3 linked regions of the Stegostoma tigrinum genome follow. The protein of the gene in region 1 interacts with the protein of each later gene in a pairwise test. Links are inferred from orthologs where the notes say so. Each region holds a gene or a part of one and is shown on either strand. Other genes may lie near its edges.

What was found.
Region 2: the proteins of abl interactor 2 (region 1) and nup62l interact in binary tests that used the Homo sapiens proteins (3 or more experiments, as listed by UniProt). The link is inferred for Stegostoma tigrinum from reciprocal best matches to the Homo sapiens genes ABI2 and NUP62.
Region 3: the proteins of abl interactor 2 (region 1) and eif3hb interact in a two-hybrid assay, tested with the Homo sapiens proteins (2 studies listed by BioGRID and IntAct). The link is inferred for Stegostoma tigrinum from reciprocal best matches to the Homo sapiens genes ABI2 and EIF3H.

What each region holds. Positions count from the first base shown.
Region 1 is NC_081360.1:20,332,311-20,336,062, forward strand, and holds the start of abl interactor 2, read right to left. Parts: upstream 2,736-3,752; 5' UTR 1,513-2,735; coding exon 1,396-1,512; intron 1-1,395. UniProt on the Homo sapiens protein: Regulator of actin cytoskeleton dynamics underlying cell motility and adhesion. Functions as a component of the WAVE complex, which activates actin nucleating machinery Arp2/3 to drive lamellipodia formation.
Region 2 is NC_081368.1:73,416,702-73,420,453, reverse strand, and holds the start of nup62l (nucleoporin 62 like), read left to right. Parts: upstream 1-1,477; 5' UTR 1,478-1,665; intron 1,666-2,025; 5' UTR 2,026-2,033; coding exon 2,034-2,317; intron 2,318-3,752. UniProt on the Homo sapiens protein: Essential component of the nuclear pore complex. The N-terminal is probably involved in nucleocytoplasmic transport.
Region 3 is NC_081358.1:13,626,053-13,629,804, forward strand, and holds the start of eif3hb (eukaryotic translation initiation factor 3 subunit H-B), read left to right. Parts: upstream 1-1,048; 5' UTR 1,049-1,054; coding exon 1,055-1,211; intron 1,212-3,752.

The sequences.
Region 1 (3,752 bases):
AAAATTAATTTAACAGGCATAATTTAAAAGCAGATTCAATTTCTGAACCAGCCATATTACCCACTCAGGCTATAAAAGATAGATGCAATTTTTTTTCTAAAGTTTGCATTCATTTAACAAACTTCTGAAAACATTCAACAGGGAGACAATCACTGACTTGCTGATCAATACCTATGAAAACATTCTAATCCTATTTTCAATATTGCTTCTTCTCTCTCAGTTCAAGGTCATAATCAACATTTCCTTGAAGTGTCCTTATCCTCAGCTGTAATTAAGTCATTTCCCCCACACATTGTTTCTCCCAAATTCAAAACCATACAGCTCCTTCATGACTGTTTCATGCAATGCAAACTTGGAATTGGCAGTTTAGTATTTGGTTCCATTCTCCTGTTCATGTTTGAATGGCACTCTGCAGAACAAGCTATGGCATTTGCTGTCACCAACAGTTGCCCACTAACTTCACCCGCACGATAATGACATCCAGTCAGTCACTGTCTTTGAAAGTAGTTGGCATACAGCCTCCCACACAGATGCAGTGGATATTTTACAGCAAATCCATCGTTCATTAGTCTTTACAAAATTCTTTACTCGGGAATATGTACACGTGCGATTTTTTTGCGGGTGGAGACGAACAGTGAGGAGGGGAGGGAAAAAAAAAGCAAAAGATCCGACCTCGAATTATTCCAACAAATGGAAATTAGGATTTTATTAGCCAGATCAGGGCAGATCCCAGCCAACTAGGACAATTACCCTCGTAACCACAAGACAGCATTCTTAAAAACAGCCAAGAATGCCTGCCAGATTTTCCATCAAGCTCAGAATCATGGAGTTAAGAACACACGATTCAGAATCACACCGCAGTCGGGGGGGGGGGGGGGGGGGGGTTAAAAAAAATGCCAGGCAAAGTAAGTGCCAGAGAATGTGAACCAGATACTGAATTCTGAAGAAAAGACGGAGTTAAGGGGCCGTGATTGAAAGCTGAAGACAAACGTAGCTTCGGGAGACCCTCTGGTTACGGAAGGTACAACAGGTCGAAAAGTCAGGGAGGCTGAAAGCCCCTCTGTTCCCAGCCGGAGTGGGGTGGGGGGAGGAGAGAGAGAACGGGGAAACGGACAACTCCGATCCATTCTCTTTCCCCCCACGCCACCGAAGGGAAAAGCGGGCGGAGGCGAGGGCAATACGAAAGCCGGTCTCCACGACATTCACCTGGGAGTACGGGCGAGAGTGGTGGTGGTGGTGGGTGGGGGGGTTCCGGCTCGGCCTAGCCGGGGAGAGGGTTATGAGGGGGAGCCGAGCCACCAGCCCGGGACCCCCCACCCCCAAACCACCTCCCCTCCGGACCGCCGATCAGAGTTGGCCCCCGTTGTCCCTCGCCTCCCCAGTCCGGTCTCTCACCTGGATGTAGTTGCTCTCGCAGTACTCGGCCACCCGGTCCAGGTTGTGGTAACTGTCCAAGAGCGCTCGGCGACCCGCGGGGATCTCCTCCTCCAGCAGCATCTGCAGCTCCGCCATCTTCCCCACATCTTCCGACACTGGGGATGCGGGACCGGAACCGGAAACAGGGGGAGGTGGGGCGGAGAGGGGGTGCAGTGGGGAGGATGGACTCACTTCCGGAAAGCCTGCCCTCACACCCCTCAAACCACACACCAAACCCCCCTCCCCCTACTGTTCTCTCTCTCTCTCACACACACACGCATATACAGCCCTGCATGGCAACTCGAACAACCAAGATCTCCCTTAGCAACCAACACCCCAGCAACCATCATTCCCCTAGCAACCAGGATCCTTCTTAGCAAACAGCCTAGCAACCAACATTCTCCGTAGTAACCACCACTCATCCTAGCGACCATCACCCGCCCGGCAACCAGCGCACCCTAGCAACTATCATTCACCCCATCAACCAGCACTGATCCAAAAGATCCAGCACTCAACTTAGCTGTGATCATCTCCCCTCGCAACCAGCATTGACTCTACCAATATCATTGCCCGAGCAACGAGCACTCATGCTTGCAACCAGCACTCAATATAGCAGCCATTATTATCACCAGCAAAGAGCACTCACCCTAGCAACTATCATTCCCTTAGCAACCAGCAAGCACTATAACAGTCTGCAATCATCCTAGCAACCACTATACACCAGGAACACGCCCACACACCCTAGCAACAACACACGCTGTGGATCATAATTATTCCAGAAACTAACACACCTTGACAAACAGATCTCATGCAACCATCATCTCCCCAAGAATCCATAATTTTTCCAAGCAACCAGAATTCTGCTCGTAACCAGCATTCACGATGGCAACCTTCAATCATCCCTTCAGGAACCGGCAGTTCCCCCAAGCAACCTTTAAGCATTCCTTCAGGAACCAGCATTCATCCTAGCAATTATCAATCATCCCAACAACCAGAATCAAGCTTAACAACCAGCATTCAGCTTAGCAAACATCATACACCTAGTAACCAGCACTTATCAAAGCAATCATCAACCCCCCTCGAAACAAGTAATCGCCCTGTCAATCAGGAAACAGTCTACCTCTAACAACTATTGTCCTACTCGTACTCACTATAGGAACCATCATTCCACAAAACCAGCACTCACCCTAGCAACAATCATAACCTCGTAATTTTTATCATTCCTGGCAACCAACATATACAGTACCCTCAGAACAGTTGCACACCGCAGCAAAAGACCACTATAATAGTGAGAAAACAGGTACTCCAGCAGCTGATAAATTTCCAGGAACTACAAATCAAAGGAGGTTCCAACTAAAATAACCACACCCTGACACGCAGGAAGAAACATAAAAATCAATCTACACCTTAGCCTGCTGATTTGCATAGGAAGAGAGGCAGCATCAATAACAAACCATTGACCACAGCAATAGCTACTTTAAGTAGTAATAGGCTCACCATACCAGTTAGGTCACAGGCATGTAGCCTTCAGTTCTGAAGCTTCATTAAAGTTTATAATGTCTGATTCGTTTTCAACTTAATTCAAATGAAATGCATTAACATGAAGAAAAGTAAGAACAATGTTTTTATTGTATGGCTAAAAGGCTAATCAATATGCTACACTTTACACTTTCAATTCATTATCTTGCAAAAATATCAAAAAATATAAAACTGCCTCATAGCTATGGATAATGTCTTTAGTTGGAGGAATAGATTTTTATGGTTGTTATCATCATTGCTTCTAACATAGCTAGGATATGCTAGAACAGAAAATGCTATTAGAAACCACAAGAATCCATAGCTGAAAAATTTCTTTAATTCCATACACCTGCAATTAAAGTTTGTTTCAAAGATAAGTTTACTGACAATATGATTGTGTAAAAGGCTCAAAAACAAGTTTCAAATTTTAATCTATTTAGTTTTATTGGAAAATGAATATGTACATTGAATTTATGTATTATATATGCAACAGTCATAAAGACTTGGCAATTTTTCAAGTGTTTTCTTTAGAAATGCCTTTTTATCTTGTAGCTTCCAATTGATTTTATTTTTGATTTTTTTTAAAAGGCTCTTCAGCTAAATAATCCTGAACGCTGTACTAAGTAAAGAATCTAGAAAATACTTTAAGGCTGCAAAGGAATGAATGAGACTTTAGTAAGAAACTAGCTCAATCCACAAAGCAGTTAGCTGAAGTACACTTTTGTTATTAGGATACATTTTGAAATTAGGATGGAAGCATCAGATTTCTGGATGAGCAATTAGTCAAGGCAACATTTAAACAATTGAATCTGGAGGCA
Region 2 (3,752 bases), on another chromosome or scaffold:
TCTTCACTGTCAACAATGCCACCAATTGTGGTGTCATCTGCAAACTTACTAACCAAACATCCTTTATTCTCATCCAAGCCATTTATGTAAATATCAGACAAGAGAGGACCCAGAACTGATCCCTGTGGAACACGGCTGGTTACATGTCTTCAGTCCAAAAAGCAACCCTCCACCAATACTTTCTGTCTTCTGCATTAAGCCAATCATGTATCCAGTTGGCAAGCTCACTCTGAATCCCATGTGACCTAACCATGCGGAAGCTTGTCAAAGGCTTCACTGAAATCCAAATAAACAATATCTATTGCTCTACCGTCATCAACCTTTTTGGTGTCTTCTTCGAATTTATTAAAATATATTGCAACCCCCCCTTGTTGATTTATATACCTTCATTTTTTACTCTATAGTGAATACAGACACAAAGTACTCATTTAAAACCTCAGCTCTATATATGTGGCCACTTCTGTCCCAACTCTTTCATTGGTTACTTTCTTCCCCCAATACATTGATAAATTGCCTTTGGAATTTCCTCAATGTGTTCTCTTTGCTTTCCTTTTTTTAAAAAGTAACTACCAACTGAAACCCCCACCTCCCTGTTGCTGTTTAGAAGCCAAAGTTGGCCAAACAGGTTGGAGCATCTACCAGCAAATTCCTTCCGACTTCCTTACCAAGGCAGTGAGAGTGGAGAGTTTTCCAGTCAGCCATGCATGATGAGGAGTGGCATCCCTTGCACTAAGCCTCTGGCAAGAGGCTAATGACTTATTCCAAGTAAAGCAAGCGACAAGAAACACTGCACTGTGTAAAAAAACTAGGATAATAACTGATCTGCTGTTCTACACGTTTCGGAGCTGAAGCAAAGTCATATGTAGTCTCAAAGGTGCACTGAGCAATTACTCGCTGAGATAAATTATGATGCGGCACATGTTACAATTGCAGAAAATATACTTTAAACACTAAGAAAAAAAACAATATTTCATCCTTCCTCTCTCCCTACCACTACACATTCCCCAGAAGGCCTCATCTTAAAATCCTTCCTACCTTCATCCTGTCAAGCCTATTCCACTGATGAGCCTTTCACACTCCCTCGCACTCTTTCCGCATTCACTCTCTCCCTACCTCCTTCTATCACTTACATCTCTCCCTCGCTGTCTCTGTCCCTTCCTCCCTCAAACTTTCTCTTTACTCACGTACTCAATGTCTTTTCTCTCTCCCTCTCCACACCCTGCCTCAAATTTTCTCTTTTTAACTCATTCGATTTCTTTCACTCCCTACACCCTCATCCTTTATACCCCTCACTTCCCTTCCTCACACTTACTATTCCAGCGAATCTTCTCGTCGCTATGGGAACCATGGACATGGCGGCTAGGTTTGATTGACAGCTCCCTGGACCAATGCACTTCCCGCCCTCGGGGCCCAATCAGCAGCGACGATGCTGGATCGAGGGGATGGGTGCACGGTTTCGCCAATCAGAGCGAGCGGGCTTGGGAGGTGTGTAGCGAGCGAAGTTGTTCGTACAGTACCTGTGAGAGAGCGGGATCATTTAGGGCCGGATATAGAGGGGGCCGAAAAGAGGAGCGAGATCGCTTCGGTATCGGCCTAGAGAGTCCATTGTCGTTTGCGCCAGTTCTTGCATAGGGGATCTTCCGTGAATCAGACCGGAACCCCAAGGTAGGTGAGACCGCAAGAACATCAAGTCGGCCCCAAGAGACAGACATCTAATCTGGAGAGGTGGGCTGGGTGAAGAGGTGGGATGGGAGAATGGGGTGAGGCAGGGTTTTCGGGTGAGGTGGATGGGGATAGAACATAGAACAGCACAGTACAGGCCCTTTGGCCCACGATGTTGTACCGTGGAATAATCCTAATCCAAAACTAAAATAACCTAACCTACATTCCCCTCAATTCACTGCTGACCATGTGGGGATGGAGTGGGGTAGGTTAGAGCAAGGAGGAGGTTAAGTCTCTTAGTTGAGTGTGCATGTAGCCTAACAGGCTGCAACCAGTGGACTGATAATTTCCATTTTTCTCTAGATTTCAAAATGAGCTTCAATTTTGGGAATCCGGCTGGAGGCGGCAGCTTCTCCTTCACTGCTCCCAAGACGGCAGGCACAGGGAGTGCGTTCTCTTTTGGCAGCACTACTGCAGCCTCCCAAGGGACCTTTAGCTTTGGAACACCCCAGCAGGTTACAACAACGGCCACCTCAGCACCCAGCACTGGTCTGTTTTCGTTCAGCACTCCCACTACTGGAGTCGCATCATCTACTGGATTCTGCCTGCCAACACAGCCAGCAACAACTGCCACTACTGGAGGCTTCTCTCTTGGGTAGGCCATAGTCTGTACCTACACATTAATGTTCACAGCCAAAGACTGGACTGGCGGTGGATGAGTGAACTGGAGGGAGTGGATGGATGTGTTGTGGAATTCAACAGAGAATGTCAATATTGGAGGGAGAAAATGTGGAGATGGGTTGACCGTAGGTCTTGGTAATTTGTGTTGTCATGACCTACTTGGATGTGGATGTTACTTGTAAGTCCAGCACTCATTTGCCCATCCCCAGTTGAACTTGAGTATATGATGTTGAGCTGTTTTGAATCTTTGCAGTCCGTGATGTGTATGGATATCCGTGGTGCTGTTAAGGAGTCAGTTCTAGGATTTTGACTCAGCAGCACTGAAGGAATGGCAATACATTTCTAAGACAGGATTCTGAGTGGCTCCGAAGGAAACCTCCAGGTGGAAGTGTTCTCATGTGCCCTTTGTTCTTCTAGGAAGTAGCGGTCACAGGTTTGGAAGGTGCTGTCAGATAACCCATTGTTGACTTACTGCGGTGCATCTTATGTACTGCTGCCACTATGTATCCGGGGGGGGTTTGTTTCTGGTTGTGTCAGTCAAGCAGGCTGTTTCTACTTGGTTGCTCTCATGCTTCTTCATTGGTGTTGGAGTTGCATACCCACAGGCAAATGGGCAGTATTCAGTCACGTTTCTGTTGCCTTGTAGATGGTGGACAGGTTTTGGGGAGTCAATAAGTGAGTTGCTTGCTGCAGAATTTGTAGCCTCTAACCTACTGTTCGAGCAACACTATGGATTGTGCGTTTCAGTTTACGGGCATTGGAAGCCCCAAAATCTGGATGGAGCTTTCAGGGATGGTGATGCCATTAGATGCCAAATGGAGATCGCTTGATTCTCACTGCAAGATGGTCAATCAAAGAAAGAGTACTAAGAGCAAGCTCTGGAGAGTTTCTCTTCTTGGTCCAGATCCAAAAAAAAACCACTTACATTTAAAAATTCAGAGATACAGTTTTTAACTGAGAAAACAATTAATTTAAAAATTACCATTTAATGTCGTTCAGTCAATTTCGTATTAAGTAACTATCTATTTAATGCCATGACCTAAAATTGGCTGAAAGTTCTGCTGGTTAGGCAAACACATGACAGATGCAAGATAATAAAATGTGAGGCTGGATGAACACAGCAGGCCAAGCAGCATCTCAGGAGCACAAAATCTGACGTTTCCGGCCGAGACCCTTCATCAGAGAGGGGGATGGGGAGAGGGAACTGGAATAAATAGGGAGAGAGGGGGAGGCGGACCGAAGATGGAGCGTAAAGAAGATAGGTGGAGAGAGTGTAGGTGGGGAGGTAGGGAGGGGATAGGTCAGTCCAGGGAAGACAGACAGGTCAAGGAGGTGGGATGAGGTTAGTAGGGAGATGGGGGTGCGGCTTGGGGTGGGAGGAAGGGATGGGTGAGAGGAAGAACCAGTTA
Region 3 (3,752 bases), on another chromosome or scaffold:
TAACTGAGGGGGCTGTGGAATTTCAGTCATTAAGTTCAAAGTAGACATTTACACATTTCTAGTTACTGATGATACCAAGAGAAGTCGGAATATTGCATGAATATGGCATTGAGATAGATGATCAGCCATTATCTGGAATGATGGAACAGGTTTGAGTGCCGAATGGCCTAATCCTGTTCTTGTGTGGGTATTGTCCAATCCCTAATAGATCTCGAAGATTTTAAATACTCTGGTTGTTTGGAATGGTTATAAGCCATCAGGCATGTTTCTAGTTTAAAGCAACAAAGGATTGTTTTGAGATTTGAGTAGTAGGCAAGTTCAGTGTGGTCAACTTTGACGTATCAACCTTGTAGAAATTGTGTCTTGGATGTAACCGCTATTCTGTATTTTGAAGTTGAGCATTTTAGACTTTCTGTAAACAGTATTTTAAAAGAAAATGGGTTAAAATTGTATCTTTTGTGGTCTCTAGCCCAAATAATGGCAATTGGTGCACAAAGTAAGTTGGACATCTGTGAAAGCCCTCTACGATCTTGGGTGATCATCATTATTATATACTTTAATATCTAATAATAATGTGTGTGAGTGTTACAGATTGATTATTTATTCTGTACAAGTTAAAGAACGTGTAACCAAATGATAGTATTGAATGTTATGTGGTATGTCCCACTATCTAAATAGTTTCCAATTATCTAGACTAGTAATTCTAAAGTTTTCGCTGGAGTAAATTATCATGTGCATGTTTTTTTCTGACTTGCAGAAGTTTTACACATAAGCGTAATAATGTGCTTGAATCTTAAGTCCTGACCAGGAGTAGATTTTCAGCAGGGATCAGACTGAGAGATAATTATCAAGTGGTACCAATAGGTTTTGTGTCAAATATATGTAACAGTACTCTGCAGGGTTAATACTTGAGAATGGTGTTTAATGTTTTGTGTTGTATCATTCATAGACAGAATCTGATCATAAAATATTTAAGCAGTGTAAATCTGATTGTAACTCTGCTTAAAATTGAAAAAAATGGTTTCTTTCTGTTTGTTTTACAGTTCAATACCAAATGGAAATGATGAGAAGCTTGCGTCATGTTAACATAGACCACCTCCATGTTGGCTGGTACCAGTCAACCTACTATGGCTCTTTCGTCAGTCGAGCTTTGTTGGACTCCCAGTTTAGTTACCAACACGCAATTGAAGAGTCTGTGGTCCTCATCTATGGTCAGTGACGTTTTCCTATTCATTTCTACTTCACTGTTTACCTGGCAGTGCTGCCTGGCAGTCCCTCTCAGTAAATACCAGCCCAGTGTCTGCCTCAGCCCCAGCAGCAGCTCAGTCTAGACAGGGTTTCCTTCTTTCTGTTTATTTTTCTTGCTATCAGAGCCCTGATGTGTACATTCTGGAATGCTGAAGTTGCTGCTTCAATTTTTTTTCATTCCTCTTCCCCCTTGTTGATGGCGGGTGGAACAGGACCAGATGTCTAACAAAAACTGATTGCTTGAGTCTGGCTCAGTACGTGACCTTACAGTTATGACACATTTTGCCAGATTGCACCTCTGACAGGCGCTCACAAAACGTAGACTGTTCTTAGCACAAAGATTTTCTTTTTTCTGCCCATTTAGTGGCGTTTCCTTTACTCACTAAACCAGATGTTCTGTGCAGTATCATAGCTGTAGGTAAAACATCTTTATTGCCTTCCCCAAGCTCACTATTTGCCATAGCTGGCAGGCTGTTACAAAGTTTCCAACCGAGAAGTAAATGTTACATCCTGAATATCTGTCAGAAAAAATACTAATGAGCACGATTAATCTTTGGGTAACACAAAAATTGTTTCAGTATGTTAACAATCGGATTACAGTTGAAAAGCTGTTAAAATATACTTTATTCATTGGAATTTTTTTACCATTTCCTCCTGAATTTTCCATTTTTATCAAATTTTCTGTTCTACATAATTACTTATATGTAGGAATTTGTTTTGTTTCTCTTTCTGTACAGTTTTCCATTTATTTGAAAATATTTAATAAGTTACTTCAAGCTTGGCTAATATAATTAATATGGAACTAAAACCCATGTACCTTGAAAATGGTGCTATTGAAATGTGACTAAACCCAAATCTTTTGTCAGAAGAAAACTGCATCAGTTTCATCTCTTCAGGCACAAAATGAAATTATGTTAAGTAACTAGATTTCTCTATGCATTTTGATTGACAATATTCAGATTTTTATATCTAGGTTAAAACTACACTTGGTTTGAAATCTATCCAATGCACCCAATAAGTCAGCACAGTTTGCTAGACAAGAATAGGAGCAACAATTTTCCACACCATGCATTTTGAGTAAATAGCAAGTTAAGGAAACTGGAGTTACCACACATTACTCTTCGATAACTCCCTATAGGTCGTCTGTCTGTATTTCCTATTTCGAGAATACTGCTTACTGCTGATTGGACAAAAGCCAGATTTGTCACTTGCAAGACATTTGTAGATAATACATTCACTTTGAATGTTTGGTCGTGCGAGATTCTTCGTTTTTTTTCCACATTTTCTGGACACTATGTCATCTTTAAGCATTCCCAGGTTTGTCTGATTTTAGTACGATTTAAATAGAACTTAAAGTTCTCTTTACTCTGTCCCAGCAGTGTACCTTGCACTGCCTTCGAGTACCAGTTTTCCGTTCTCCTCAAATGTAGATGTTTGAGAATGAGAATCAGGTTCTCTTTCCCAAGGTGGTCATTTTCTTCAGATGCATTTCAGCTTATAGTTCCAGAAAATGTCTGGAGTTTGACTTGACTGATCAGTAATATAAAATGTAACACCTGGATACTTGGTATTCTACCTAAGCAACTTACTCCATCAGTGATAATGGGAACTGCAGATGCTGGAGATTCCAAGATAATAAAATGTGAGGCTGGATGAACACAGCAGGCCAAGCAGCATCTCAGGAGCACAAAAGCTGACGTTTCGGGCCTAGACCCATCAGTGCATGAGTTCATATTTAGATAAAGTTTATTTTTCCAAACAAGTATAGAGGGCTCACTGTGACGAGGTGTAGGCTCCTTTTATGCAACGTTTTTATCCATTTATGAAATGTGGATGTGGTTAGCAACACTAGTTATTGTGTGATTAAGATACTCCCAAAGTGATGTTTGTATGGGGTTACAGAGAGGTGTTCCAGGATTTGGGCTCAATAACAATGAAGAAATAGTATTTATTTTTAAGTGAGTATTGCATAAGACTTGGAAGAAAATGTGGAACCGGTGATGTCACAATGCGACTGTTGCCTTTGTAGTGATAGATTTTGACAATGATGTTGATTGAAGATGTATTGGCAAGATACTGCGTCAAGATTTTGCGCTTCAGATGTGCTGGGGGTGAAGGCAATTATATTTAAGTCATGGGTGAATGCCAGTCTTTTTGGCTATCGTTGATATTTTACTAATCAGGCATGGGGACAGTATCCTATCATGTACTGACGAGCTAATTTATGTTTATTCCTTAGCTTCACCAGAATGCATTATCTGGTTGTACTTTGTTCTGTGGAAGTAGCCTTTTGCAATTCCTGTTTTTCAAGTAAGTGTTTTGGCATGTGCTGATGTTGGAAAAGCACTATATAAATGCATCTTGCCTTTTTTGTGCCTTGTTGATAATGGACATATTTTGGGGAGACAGTATTGGCAGGCCCAGTTATCTTTCTGGTTAATGGTGTAAATTAAGGTGTTGTCGGCATTCGAATGCTGGAAATACTGCTAGATGTTGTAAGGAAA